Linked DNA regions of Mytilus edulis. The protein of the gene in region 1 interacts with the protein of each later gene in a pairwise test. Links are inferred from orthologs where the notes say so. Each region holds a gene or a part of one and is shown on either strand. Other genes may lie near its edges.

Evidence for each region.
Region 2: the proteins of cleavage and polyadenylation specificity factor subunit 5-like (region 1) and large ribosomal subunit protein P1-like interact in a two-hybrid assay, tested with the Homo sapiens proteins (2 studies listed by BioGRID and IntAct). The link is inferred for Mytilus edulis from reciprocal best matches to the Homo sapiens genes NUDT21 and RPLP1.

The regions. Positions count from the first base shown.
Region 1 is NC_092348.1:95,908,170-95,915,670, reverse strand, and holds the start of cleavage and polyadenylation specificity factor subunit 5-like, read right to left. Parts: upstream 3,023-7,501; 5' UTR 2,989-3,022; coding exon 2,867-2,988; intron 1-2,866. Other genes in the region: N(6)-adenosine-methyltransferase catalytic subunit METTL3-like, read left to right, coding at 3,238-3,388, 5,102-5,372, 6,113-6,185. UniProt on the Homo sapiens protein: Component of the cleavage factor Im (CFIm) complex that functions as an activator of the pre-mRNA 3'-end cleavage and polyadenylation processing required for the maturation of pre-mRNA into functional mRNAs.
Region 2 is NC_092355.1:8,605,372-8,612,223, forward strand, and holds the start of large ribosomal subunit protein P1-like, read right to left. Parts: upstream 3,009-6,852; 5' UTR 2,876-3,008; coding exon 2,804-2,875; intron 1-2,803. Other genes in the region: thioredoxin domain-containing protein 5-like, read left to right, coding at 3,218-3,372. UniProt on the Homo sapiens protein: Plays an important role in the elongation step of protein synthesis.

The DNA.
Region 1 (7,501 bases):
ATATCCCAAGCTGACACTTGTGACATGACTAAATACCACGTGTCTGCAATCACCAATATCGACATGGAAATATGCAATCACAAACAATATTAAAAAAAATACACTTATTTTTTTTTACGCAAAATGTGATGCTATCCAAAATTTCTGGGGAGAACACTGTTAATGAAAAGTACAAGTCAGTGTTCTCCCCAGAAATTTTTACGTTAAAAAAAATAACAGTATTTTTTTTAATGTCATTTGTCGCGTCGTGTTGATGCTCTATTTCCTTTATATGTTTTAGTTTATATTGTTCAATTCATAACTGAGAATACAATTAAACTGTAACCACAAAAACAGTTGTTTCAGTTTATGTTTTCTTTATTCATTTATAGTAATCAGAATTATTTTTTTCCTTTTGTGCCAAATAAAAATAAATATGTGGTTTCAGTTACCCAATAATAAGTCAAATGAATGAATGGTTCATTATAGTGCAACCGGTATATATATACAAAACTAAATATTTAGTACACAAAATTAACAATTTTTTATATTATTTTAAGTAAAGATAAAGTAGCCAAAAAAATCCTCAATTTAAAAACTTTTTTTTATCATGTTTATGAAATTCATTGTTTCATGGCACTCAATGAATTAGTCCCAGTTGTTTATCTTTACATCAAAATGATATGTATTTTTAACAAAGTCATCTAACAAATAGTCTGTTAATACGTAGTTTTCTTTCGTGGTATATTTTTTCTGTCTACTGTCCATCTGTTGTCATTATCGTGAAAATGCGGATTTTTGTCATATCTAGTCCGGTTCCTATCCGTAGTTTACACAAAAATGTGCAATGGCGGCCGTAGAAAAATTTACGAAAATGAGTCTGAGAATAAACATTGTTTGACAAGAGATTGTGAATGAATAAGACGCTTTTAATGCATTAAATGGATTAAACATAAACTTCAGCCAATTATGATAACTTTTTAAAGAAATATTAAACTTATTTTAGCTCTAAACCAAAATTCTCGCTCTCGTATTACTGGAAGAGAAAGAAAGTAATTTTTGGAGAGTTGCACAAATAAACGACCTTTTAAAAAAAAATAAAAATCGTTTCAATCTTTGAAATTTCGTAATATAAAACGTAGATTTCGAATTGTGTTGTGATTGCATTATTCCATGTCGAAATTGGTGATTGCAGACACGTGACGTGGTATTAATCATGTCACAAGTGACAGCTTGGGATATTCGCATCCAAACAGTTATCACCCTGAGGGCAATTAACACCTAGCTATTTAATCTCTTAATTGCCTTTCGTGTCCGACTTAAAGGGATTACAATTAAAGGTGATATAATTTTTATGATCATAATCAATAATAGATGAAAGTTCAAAATTGAGGACAAGTAAAATAGCATCTTCAAAATAATTATAGCGTGGCGGGAATAATTATAGCGTTGCGGTAATAATTATAGCGTCGCTGGAATTATCATAGCATCACGGTGAAAAAATATAGCGTCGCGGTACCGCGACGCTAAAACGGCCTGGGGAGAACGAATCCGGGTCCGTTTGCGCCCATTCACGTTCGCACCCACACATGTTCGCCCCCTTTCATTTTCGCACCCTACATGTTCGCACCCAAAGTCCGTTCGCACCCTACATGTTCGCGCCCAATTTTAATTGGTTTTGTGTTTAATAACTTTGTAATCAAGTTTTGGCAAGTACGTAGTATTCTTATAAGTATAATTGTTTTCATGGTCTCAAAATAAAGTGAGACAGCATTTTTTTTGTGTTGAATAAATCTTAATCATGTTTTGGTTAGTGTATTGTTAAAAAAAATTATATTCCTTTCTAAATAAAGTGGGATTCTGTCAACGTTTTATTTTGTGTTGAAATTCAGTCATCTGTATATAATTTAATTAATTGTTTCCCTATGTTTTAAGGTGTAAATAGTTGCTCAAACTATACCCTTTGGGTAGTGCTCCACATTTAATGGAGGAATATACAAGAAACTGAACTGAACTGAACTGTTGAATAATTGTTTATCATGTTTTGGTTAGTGTATTGCTATAACTTTTTTTCATTGACTTGTTTCAAAATGAAGTGAGATTCTGACTACGTTTCTTTTTTTTTGTGTGTGTTGGATTAAATTTTATCATGTATAGTGATATATAATAGTGTATTGTTTCATTATTTCAGATCAAAGGGACCAAGCTGTTCAAAACAATTATCTTTTGTGTTTTTCATTTAAAATCTTCAATCTTTTACTCATACCAAGCTATAAATACATTCAGTATTTACACGAAAGCAATTAAAAACAACAATCATGATTTTCAAATTATTCAACTGGAATTTGAATTAAAATTGGGCGCGAACGTGTAGAGTGCGAACGGACCTTGGGTGCGAACGTGCGAGGTGCGAACGTGTAGGGTGCAAAAGTATATTGGGCGCGAACGGACCTGATACCGGGGAGAACACTGCAAGTATAATAGGAAACAAATTTAAAAAAAAGCTTAACATTTTATTGAAAAGGCAGAGAATTTTGAACTCGTATTATTCCAGGTCAAAATATCCAAAAGCGAGAGATTTTAATCCTGTTCGGGACTGGACTGGCAAGTGGGAGATTTCCGTAATTTTGTTGTTTGCCCTAGAGTCTCCCGCTCGCAATGTGAGGGTTAGCTGGTATGGTTCATGACCTGATTAAGTTGGGTCTGTGGTTTACGCATTCTTCAAAAGAACTAATTAACCAGGAACACTTATCCGGAATCATACAGATCCTGTCTTGCTGTTGGAGTGTTGCACTAGTACTAGTAGTAGTAGTCTACAAAAGAAAGATCATGAATTTCTGATAGATAAATTAAAAGACACATGAACCTATATGGCTAGAGTGCTTACAAATTGATTGGTCTGTCGAGAGTTATGAGAGGATTTGCAGTGCCATATTTTGGGAAGGATGCGGAATTAGATTGTTTAGGCCAACCGTGGGGAACGCCGTGTGCTCTTCCATGTGACGCCATTGTCAATGTTTTCCTACTTTATTCTGGTTCTTTTTATATTAATTTGAGGCAAATCAGCAACAAAATTACAAACAGGGAACCAGTTATTTTAGAAAAGTGCCCTTCTGGGTCTTTTAAGCGCTTTAAAATAGAAAATATTTCGTTTGTTTGAATTGCAGATAATTGACACTGATCAAATTAAAAAAAAAAGAGAATTGATTTCGAGATCGAACTATTTACCTATTTACGAACCTGATTTAAGACACCACCATGTCAGATTCAGATGCATGGAGCGATATCCAAGCTATCAAAAGCAAACAGAGTAGCTTGAGAGCTAAAATGCTCCAGAGACGAAAAGAAAGAGAGGAAATTGCAGCCGAAATCACCAAGTCTAGCATCTCACCAACAACAAGTAGTGAAGGTGAAACACCATTATCTGGTTCTCATTGAAATTGTCCATTTTGCAACTGAGAATTAGCACACAAAATAGCTGACCCATATATTTTTTTTTCCATTGTCGTTAATGTTGATCTTATTGCTATTTTTACACCATTTTACTGGAGGTCTCATGAATCTGGGTCTGTTCGCGAGCAATCACCTTCGCGCCCATTCACGTTGGCGCCCTTTCACTTTCCCACCCTACACTTTCGCACTCAAAGTCTGTTCGCACCCTACACGTTCAAGACCAATTTTTATGGGTATTGTGTTATACAATTTGGAATCGAGTTTGGGTAATAAAGTGCATGAAGTGTATTGCTATTTATAAATATTTTTTTCATTGTTTCTACATATAGTGAGGTTCTGATAACATTTTTTTGACGTGTTGAATAAATCTTTATAATACCGTTAAAGCAAGTGTATTGCTCTACATAAAAATGATTTGTTCATTTTTTCTAAATAAAGTGAAATTCTGACAATGTTTTTTATGTGTTGATAAAATCTTAATCATATTTCGTAAGTGTATTGCTATGAATATTTTTTTTTAAAAGAGATCAAATTTAGGAGCCAAGCTGTTAAAAACAATTATCTCTCGTGATCTTCAAAGTTTTACTCACTCATAACAAGATAAATACATGCAGTATTTACATCAAAGCAAGTTAAATCAACAATCATTATTTTTAGTAAAAGTGAATAGAAATCTATGAAATTTTAACACAAGGTTTATGACCACAAAAGGAAGATTGGGATTGATTTTGAGAGTTTTGGTCCCAATATTTTAGGAATTAGGGGCCAAAAAGGGCCCAAATAAGCATTTTCTTTGTTTTAGCACTATAACTTTAGTTTAAGTAAATAGAAATCTATGAAATTTTGACACAAGGTTTATGACCACAAAAGGAAGGTTGGTATTGATTTTGGGAGTTTTGGTTCCAACAGTTTAGAAATTAGGGGCCAAAAAAGGGCCCAAATAAGCATTGTTCTTGGTTTTCGCACCATAACTTTTCAAATTGGTCTACATTAAAGTCCAAAGGGTCCAAAATTAAACTAAGTTTGATTTTAACAAAAATTGAATTCTTGGGCTTTTTTGATATGCTAAATCTAAACATTATACAATGCATATTCACTTTTACTACCGACTGATAAATTAAAACAATCTTTACCATTCAGTGATAACAAGCACTTTATTTTATATTTTAATATTTTATGATGTACTTAAATGAGTAGTTATTGTTGCAAACTCCATTAGAAGTTTGAATTGAGATCAGTTTTGGAAAAAGGTAAACATGGTAAAGGGGGATGTGAAAAAAAAATGGGAGGGGGGGGGGGGGGTAAATTTTTCTCATTTCAGATTTCATAAATAAAAAGAAAATTTCTTTAAACATTTTTTTGAGAGGATTAATATTCAACAGCATAGTGAATAACTCAAAGGCAAAAAAAATATTTTAAGTTCATTAGACCACATTCATTCTGTGTCAGAAACCTATGCTGTGTCAACTATTTAATCACAATCCAAATTTAGAGCTGAATCCAGCTTGAATGTTGTGTCCATACTTGCCCCAACCATTCAGGGTTCAACCTCTGCGGTCGTATAAAGCTGCAACCTGCGGAGCATCTGGTTTGAATTTGAATTTAAATAAAAATTTTGTACAAGAACTTTTAATTGATTTTGCCTCAAATCATGAACTTTATTTTTCAGATACAAAGAGCCAATCAGAATCAGCAAGCCCTGTTAAAGCAATACCATCTACATCTTCCAGTCCAGTAAAGTCCACACCGGCTGCTGAACCTACAAAGATAGACCCTGTTCTAGAGAAGAAAGTAATGTTGGCTCTCTGTGACATAGATCTAGACATACCCTGTAGTTCTAATGTTATAGCAGAACATTCATCTAAAATACTCAAACAGACCGTTAAACTTGATGTTGTGGAAGAATTACTGAAGAAATTTGCAGGACAACAGCTGATAAAGTAGGTGAAATAAATATGAACATGATGAAAGAAATATACATGTATAAGATATGAGTTATATGCCAATACTAGTACTATAGCAATGCAGCTACACCAAAATATTTTTTTTTTATCTCTGCAGTTAATAAATGTAGATTTCCAAAACCAGGAGAAAATAAAATCCATATGCTTTAATGCTACATTTCAATATGTCATCATGGTCGTAAGGGATTGAAAGGTGTAGACATTTTGTAATCAGAGCAAGACAAGTTGACATGGAGTCAGGACAGTGTGTTCATGCAGTAAGTGCAGGATGGCATGTTCTCCTGTTGACTATAATAACCTTATGTCCTAGCCTGTTAAGAATCTATCGCAACCTGTCAGTGTAGTGCAACGCAGGGTATTATAATGACAATTTTCACCTCTGGATGTTAAGCAGCGATCAATCAATCAAACCATTATCCAAATAAAATATCCAATTTTAAGGTATATGAATACACCTTATCGCTATTTGTCTGCCATTACTGGATATCACACAGGTTCCTGTAAAATGTTGGCATCATAATACAAAATATCTGATGCCACAATGGAAAAGTGAATGTTGTATCATGTCAATAGTTCAAGCGGCACAGATTTTAGGTTCAGGAGGGAATAGGTCAATAGTTCAAGCGGCACAGATTTTAGGTTCAGGAGGGAATAGGGATACATTGTAAGGTGTAAAGAAATTTAAATATTTTAATGATGTAATATTTTTCTTTCAGTATAACAGTAAAAGATGACAGTTTAGAAGATGAACAAGGCAAAATTACTGTCAATAGTATGGATATAACTAAGGTCTGTCTTATTGTATAAATTATGAAAGATAGCAAAATTACATTATTTAAGAACAATATCAAGTTAGGGGAGGAATTTGTAAAAGTGGAAAATCTCTTGTTTTCAAATCCTAATAAAACTGGCATATTGTAATGTATACGTTAATATTTTCAAATGAAATATTGTTTACTCTATGTTAGGTCTCAATTTACTGTCAATGGCATGGCTATATATACAGTCCGCCAAAAGTTAAGCACCACCTACTTTTATTGCATCGATTTTTTTTCAAATTTAAAAAATCAATTGTTCCTCGAAAAATAGAAAACAATCATATAGCAATTTTGCTAATGTATACCATTAACAAACCACAAATATAATTTTGGTCACTTATGAAGGTTCTATGCATATAGGTTTTTCGTTCATAGAAATAGTGTAAATTACACAATTAAGAAATGGAATTTAAGTTTCACTGTGATTTTATTTTTTTACAACAATTAATCACCCAATACCATTAAAATTTTCTACACATAATCTTTGGTATGTTTGGCAAATTTAATGTCAATATTTGAGTCAATAGCATGTGTAACAACCTCATTTCCGGTACAGTTTCATAACACGACTATCTTTCTCGGTACAAGCCTTCAAAACTTTAGTTGAGGAAATCTGTTGCATTAAACAAATATGCCACTTTTAAATCGACAAACTTTTGTAAAGGTGAATCTCGATTGAGATTTCCGACAATGGCATCTCAGACATGTTTGATAGGGTTCATGCATGGAGTCAAGGAAGGCCAAAAATTAGTGTAAATGGCTGGTTGCTCTTTGGACACGGTTAAAATTCTTGCCCTGCGTGGTATAGCGTTGTCATTCAGGTACAAGTGTCTTGACAATGTTGACGCAAGTGGGGGATTACTAAAATGACGGACTACAATATGTTAAGGCACCAAATCTCTGTATGTCTGTCCGTTTATGTTACCCTGCAGAATATGCATACCCAGCTTATAACGGTATAAGAAGCAACCCCGTACTGGAACACAACCAGCAATGCATGCAGTCCTTGTGCAAATATTGTTTTTGGTCATAGGCCGTTTTTTTCCCCTGCGAAATTCGTATTATGGCGTCTTCTGGCAGTAAAGGAAACTGACTCCCATCTGACCAATGAGTGTTTTGTCAGGTTCTTATGTTCAAGCATAGATGTTCATTATCCCATTTAAACCTGACGGTAGAGTGCCTGCTTGAAGGTACAGGTCTCTATACACCACGACGTGCTCTTCGTTTGCCTCTATAAAGTGACGGACCAATGTACGAACACTTACACGACCACCTGGAGAAACAGTG
Region 2 (6,852 bases), on another chromosome or scaffold:
ACCGTCATTTCTAAATACTTGACACTTCAGAACCTTTATTAACCGGTTTCACCGTGACTATATGCAATAAGTCACCTATACCTGTCACTATGTACATGCAGTGTTTGTATATAAGAAGATGTGGTATGAGTGCCAATGAGACAAGTCTCCATCCAAGTCACAATTTATAAAAGTAGACAATTATAGGTCAAGGTACTGTCCTTAACACGGAGCCTTGGCTCACACCGAACAGCAAGCTATAAAGGGCCCAAAAATTAATAGTGTTAAACCATTCAAACTGGAAAACCAACTGTCTTATCTATATTAAAAACCAGAAACAAGAAACACTTATGAACGACATCAACAAAGTTAACTATTGAAGTTCAGATTCCTGACTTAGGGTCTTACTTAGGACAGGTGCAACAATTATACACTTAACGATTGCCTTATTTTTTAATTATGCAAAAAAATCACATCAACTGATCAAAAATTCATATAAAAAATAGAAAATTGTACTGTCCAATACCCTAATGACAAACTTGACATAGCATGTACCCAAGTTTTTAAAACCAAAGACTTTCGGAACAAGAAAATTGCACCTTTTCTACCTATAGGCAAATCACACTTTTTGCCAAAATTCTCAAATAAAGAATTTTATTATATATTTTAACATATATCATCATTCATGTTAACAAAACAAAACCACTTTTGATAGGAACTATTTTCTCATATGTATACAATGAACATTAAGAGAAATTGATTGTTGTCTTTGACTTATGAGACCCCTTTTCAACGTGAAAAAGTTGATATGTGTAGTGTTTGTTATTTTAATCCTACTTGTAATTTGTTTTTGTTCACACATTGCAGTCAATAATATGAAATTTTATGCGACTGTCAAATAAGTGAAAGGTTAGCTAGCTATAAAACCAGGTTTAATCCACCATTTTCTACCTTAGACAATGCCTGTACCAAGTCAGGAATATGCCAGTTGTTTTTCATTCGTTTGATGTGTTTGAGCTTTTGATTTTTCCATTTGATAAGAGACTTTCCGTTTTTACCTTGGAGTTTGACATTTTCTATATTTTATATTTTGCAATGATTCATGTAAATCCCATAATAGATAAAGATTAAAAGGGCCCGGCGATGCAGCAACATTTTGGCACTGGTTAACACACACAAACATTGTCCTGTTGTGGCAGTAACAGTCCTTATACACATTCGAAAGATTTTAATGATTGAAAATATGTGAACGACCGTTAACGACAGAAAGCACAATTTTTGAATAATAACAGCATTGATATTTGCATGTACTATTGAAAATTTATCCACTATGGTCTTGCGTAAGGGAGTACGCATGTCATGCAGATCACAATCTAAATTTTTGACTTTAATATTTTAAATCAATCGCATTCAACTTGTGCTAAACTTTCAAGTACATGTACTTTTACATTATAAATAGACAAATTACAACAAAATTAAGCTATAAAAAGTCGGAAATTTGGAGAAAACAAATAATGTTTAATGGCAATAATTGTAGTGTTGCTGCAACAAGAGATACGAAATTTTGGAACATACTAATTTAGGTCTGCCTGGAGCTGGAATGTCAGTAACGACTGGTAGTCCTTTGCTAATTTATGTATTATGTCACTTTGCTTAGTTTCTTTTGTAGCCTGTTCTGACATCGGACTCTTAATTCTTTTACAGAGGCGGATTTAGGGGGGGGGGGGCAGGGGGCCCGCCCCCCCTTTTGAGAAAAAAATTGGTTGCTTATATAGGGATTCACTGAAGCGTGACGAGATCGGGCCCCCTCTTAAGCAGCCAGTGGGCCCCCACTTATGAAAATTTCTGGATCCGCCACTGTTTTAAACTTAGTTTTACTATGCGTTTTGCTATGTGTTTGTTTATTCTGTATTGGCTAGAGTTAAAGGGGAGGTTGAGATCTCATAAAAAATGTTTAACCTCGTCGTATTTTTGCTGCTGCTGTCCCAACTTGGCCTTTGTTAGTCATGTATGTTTTTGATTTTAGTTCATTTATATGTTTTGAAGTTAAGTATGACGTCCATTTTCACTGAACAACTGCACATTTTATTAAGGGGGGGGGGGGGGTGCAGCTGAGGCCCATCTCTGTGTGCGAGATTTTCTCGCTGCGTTGAAGACCATTTGGTGACCTTCAGCTGTTTTATGCTCTTTGGTCGGGTTGTTGTCTCTTTGACATATTCCCCATTCCCATTCCCAATTTTATTATGTTTAAAAAGTTAGTGGAATACGGTCCGTTTGTCCTACATAAATAATAACAGACACGGGTAACAAAATTGTCAATCACAATGTCACACGAGCTTGCTTTTCTACAGAAATAGCTGATTTACCATGACATTAATTTTGGACCTGGTTCGGGTTCCTATGCAAAAAATCCAAGAAAATCGCATTAAAGTTTTTCTTTTTAGTTGAAAATAATTCTTGAAATTTGTACATGAATATATCAAAGGGAACTAGAAGCATGTTCTTCGTCCTACAAACGGATTACATTTATTATTAAATAACAAGTTTTAATTTGTTGTCTTCTTTAATACACATTTCTATTTGGTTGCAAAGCTGCCAGTATCTGTTTAAAAGTTTTGTTTTTGTTTAAGGTTTTTTTGGTTAATCCGTTTTATTTTGTGTTGAAACATGTTTTAAGTTTTACTCTTAACCAGGTTATTGGTTAAATTCAACCTCAAACATGTTGAAAGAAAATAAAACACGCCTATAATACACTCAAGAAGAGTCGGACTCTGAATTGAAAGAAGAAAACGAAAGTAGATTATCGAAACACGTCGTCTCTCACCGTTACTGCTACTTCATCATCTGCCAAGATAAGAGCGGCATATACGCAGGCAAGTTCGTCTTTTGATGCCATTGTTAGTTGTGTATTACAATTTAGGGACGATGTCAAATAAAACAAAATGTAGGTCGCCGATTGGCCTTAGCTTTGAAAGAACACCACACTTTTGTTTTCAAGCAAATGTGAAAAGGACGGAAACGGAAGTAGAGTCTCAAAGCTGAAAAAAGTTTTTGACTATTTCATCTAAGGGATTCATCAACCAAACGATATCAAAATCTTTTGTTAAATGTATGTATGTGGGTTAGCAAATATCTATTTGATATGGATACAAAACTTTGTTTTTTTAGAGATTTATCAACGTTGCATTAGCGATCTGTACTTCCGTTTCCGGTTGTTGTTTCTATTTCGAAAGTAAACATGTGGAAAGTAGGAGCTGTGTTGTTACTTGTTTTTTCTGCTGTTGTGACTGCTGACAATGATGATCATGGATCTGAAGCTGTGTCACATACAGCCGATAGTTTTGCTACCCAAGTGGAGGAGACAAAACAATTTGTTATGTTCTTTGCCCCATGGTGAGTGACTTTCAAAAATTGTACAGTAGTTTAGTTATCTGTTAGTCCAAATAATTATGACGTCTGGCAAGGCTATTTTAATTTTTTTCTAGGACGCCTTCCTGTCCCAGAAAAAAAGTAAAATAGCCTTGCCAGACGTCATAATTATTTGGACTAGTTATCTGTCTACTGCAGTATACTTACACTAAAATTGAGAATGGAAATGGGGAATGTGCCAAAGAGACAACAACCCGACCATAGAAAAAAACAACAGCAGAAGGTCACCAACAGGTCTTCAATGTAGCGAGAAGTTCCCGCACCCGGAGGCGTCCTTCAGCTGGCCCCTAAACAAAGATATACTAGTTCAGTGATAATGAACTCCATACTAATTTCCAAATTGTACACAAGAAACTAAAATTAAAATAATACAAGACTAACAAAGGCCAGAGGCTCCTGACTTGGGACAGGCGCAAAAATGCGGTGGGGTTAAACATGTTTGTGAGATCTCAACCCTCCCCCTATACCTCTAGCGAATGTAGAAAAGTCTTTCATTTTATAAATTTATTTAACTTGTTTATTTTTTGTTTGTTATTTTTTCCCTTTATTTGTTTAAAATCATTCACTTTGTAAGATTGAAATACAACAAACTTGTTCGGACCACATCTAAAAAGAAACGAAAATACTGTAAATGTTCTGTTGTCAGTGATTTTTAGTTGTAACGTTATTGAATGTAATCAATACACCTTATCACTAATCCCGGCTGACCCGGCCGCTTGAACTTTTGACGCATACAACAATCACTTTTCCATTGTGGCATCAGATATTTTGTTTTATGACGTAAAATTTTTACGGGAACCTGTGTGATATCCAGTAATGGAGGACAAATAGCAATAAGGTGTATGTAAACAAAGAAAAGCTATCATCAGGTAATGTTTTTTTCATATCAAAGAATTAATAAAAACAAAATTGGTATGAAGTTCTTCCTTATTTTACTAGACTGATAAATATATATTTTACTTAAAGACTCATGACTACATGACTAACAAGACTGGAAGAAGGAAGTAGATTTCTGCGCAAATGCGTGATAATAAAAAAAGTCTAAAAATAAATGTTCACTTTTTTTGTCACATATTGTTACTATAAAATTAATGGAAATAGAAATTGAAATCAGCCACCAATGGGTCTTCAACACAATGAGAAAATCAAGCACAAGGAGACAATGGGAGACAAGCTTCAGATATTTATTTAAATTTTCAAATCAGATGTTATTGGTGATTTTATACATAAATTGTAACTCATAACAATACATTGTAGAAGGAATCAGGTCCCAGGGACGGATCCAGCCATTTTGAAAAGGGGGGGCTCCCATCCCAGGATAAAAGGGGGGGGGGTTCCAACTACATGTCCCCATTCAAATGCATTGATCGTCCTAAAAAAAGGGAGGGGGGGGGGGTTGCAACCCTGGAAACCCTTCCCTGGATCCGCCACTAGGTCCACAATACAACTGCAACTACAGAAACAGAATAAATTCAAAATGTTTGTCTAGTTAGTATTCTTTTTGATAAACAGTTATTATATATATGGAGGAAATCATATGACTTTCAACATGGCAGCATTTGTCTAATTTTGTCAACAGAATAATGTGTGCAAGCTCAACTGTACGGGAAAAAAAATGTGGAATTATAGCATATTTTAACTTGAAACATTTGTGAAAAAATCTGTAAAAAAAAAAAAAATAGGGAAACATGTCCAATTTTGGTCCTGTTGTTAGGGATTTCAGTTGTGAAGTTGTTTTCAATGTCAACTTAGAGACACTTATCATTCAGAAAATAATTTTAATTTCATATCAAAGAATTTAAAAAAAATATATTTATATCAATGAAGATACATGTACCAAGTCAGCTTGTTAATTTTGATCAGATACTAAAAATTTACAGTTGATTTATCAGGTAAGGTTCCAAAGAGAACACAATTTATATGCCTTATTTTTATGTTGATTAATTATAAGGTCCAGACTCATTTTGAAATGTAAAAAATTTATTTAAATTTTTCACCTGGCATTTTTTTTTTCGTTATAAAAACAACAAATTTGCAGGAAAGTCCGAAACCATTATGATTCTCATTCCAATATTTTACTGAGTCTCTTGATAAACAAGACCTAAAGAAAGAACAAGATTGTTCCACAAATAAGGTAAACTCAAAGTTGGAAGAAGTAAAAGTTAACGATTCTAAGTTCGTTGGTCATGTTGGTAGATTGACTGTTTTCTTTGTTTTATTAATTTTCTTACTGTTATCAGGGACTTTCCCCCTTTGTTTAATTGATTTTCTTACTGTAATCAGGGACTTTCCCCCCATATAATGTGATAATTGTCAGGTCTTGAATTGGATATATGATAAAACAGATGCTTCATGACAAGCTATTGGATTTGGAAGTAGAAAGAATGAAATAAAATTGCAACAATTACCAATGATTATCATTAAAAAAGATGATGATTGAATTTATATTAAAAAAATATTTAATTTTTTCTTTGGCCTTAAATCATGATTTTTAGCAATAATCTATTTTTAACTGCTGACGTGGCTTAATTTCATATGCTGATACAAATGAATACAGTTTTAAAAATTCCTAGTATTTCCATTTATTCAATACAAAAGTTAAAAGTCATTTGATGGTTGTATTTAAATCATAGACTCACATTAACTTGTTCCATTTAAATGCTGATGAGAAAAGGTGATTTATTAGGAATAATTCATGAATTTTAAATTTTTAATGACTGAATGATATTAGATTTGTACAATTTGAGGAATTGTATTTCAAATTTTTCCTTTGTTTTTAATTGATTTGAATTATTTTATGGGTTTGTACTGTGGAATCTGTGACAATTAAATTATTTGTGACTATTTTCTCAGTATCTATATTGTTTAAAATAATGTAATTGCTTGGCTTTGATATTAAGATGGTCATTTAATAAAAAACCCAAAAAACCACATTAGAATATATTTGAAGGTCCCTTAGTTAACTGCTAGTAGTCTGTTTTTATTTATGTATTATTGTCATTTTATTTATTTTCTTTTATCTTCTGACATCGGACTCGGACTTCTCTTGAACTGAATTTCAATGTGCGTATTGTTATGCGTTTACTTTTCTACATTGGCTAGAGGTATAGGAGGAGGGTTGAGATCTCATAAACATGTTTAACCCCGCCGCGATTTTGCGCCTGTCCAAAGTCAGGAGCCTCTGGCCTTTGTTAGCCCTTGAAGGTTTTGTAGGACTATAGGAACAATCTTTCACGTAAAACCCCCATGGGCATTTTGAAAAATTGGCAGGTATGTCATTAAAGTCAGTCATTTTAAATTGTGGATCACCTATAAAAGATTTTTTTATTGTTTATGTGCACAACTATAGAACCACTCAAACAAGATAAACAGTGATATATACATATATGCCTTTTAACTTTTAAAAATGAAAAATTTAAAATGGATAATAATGATATATTCATC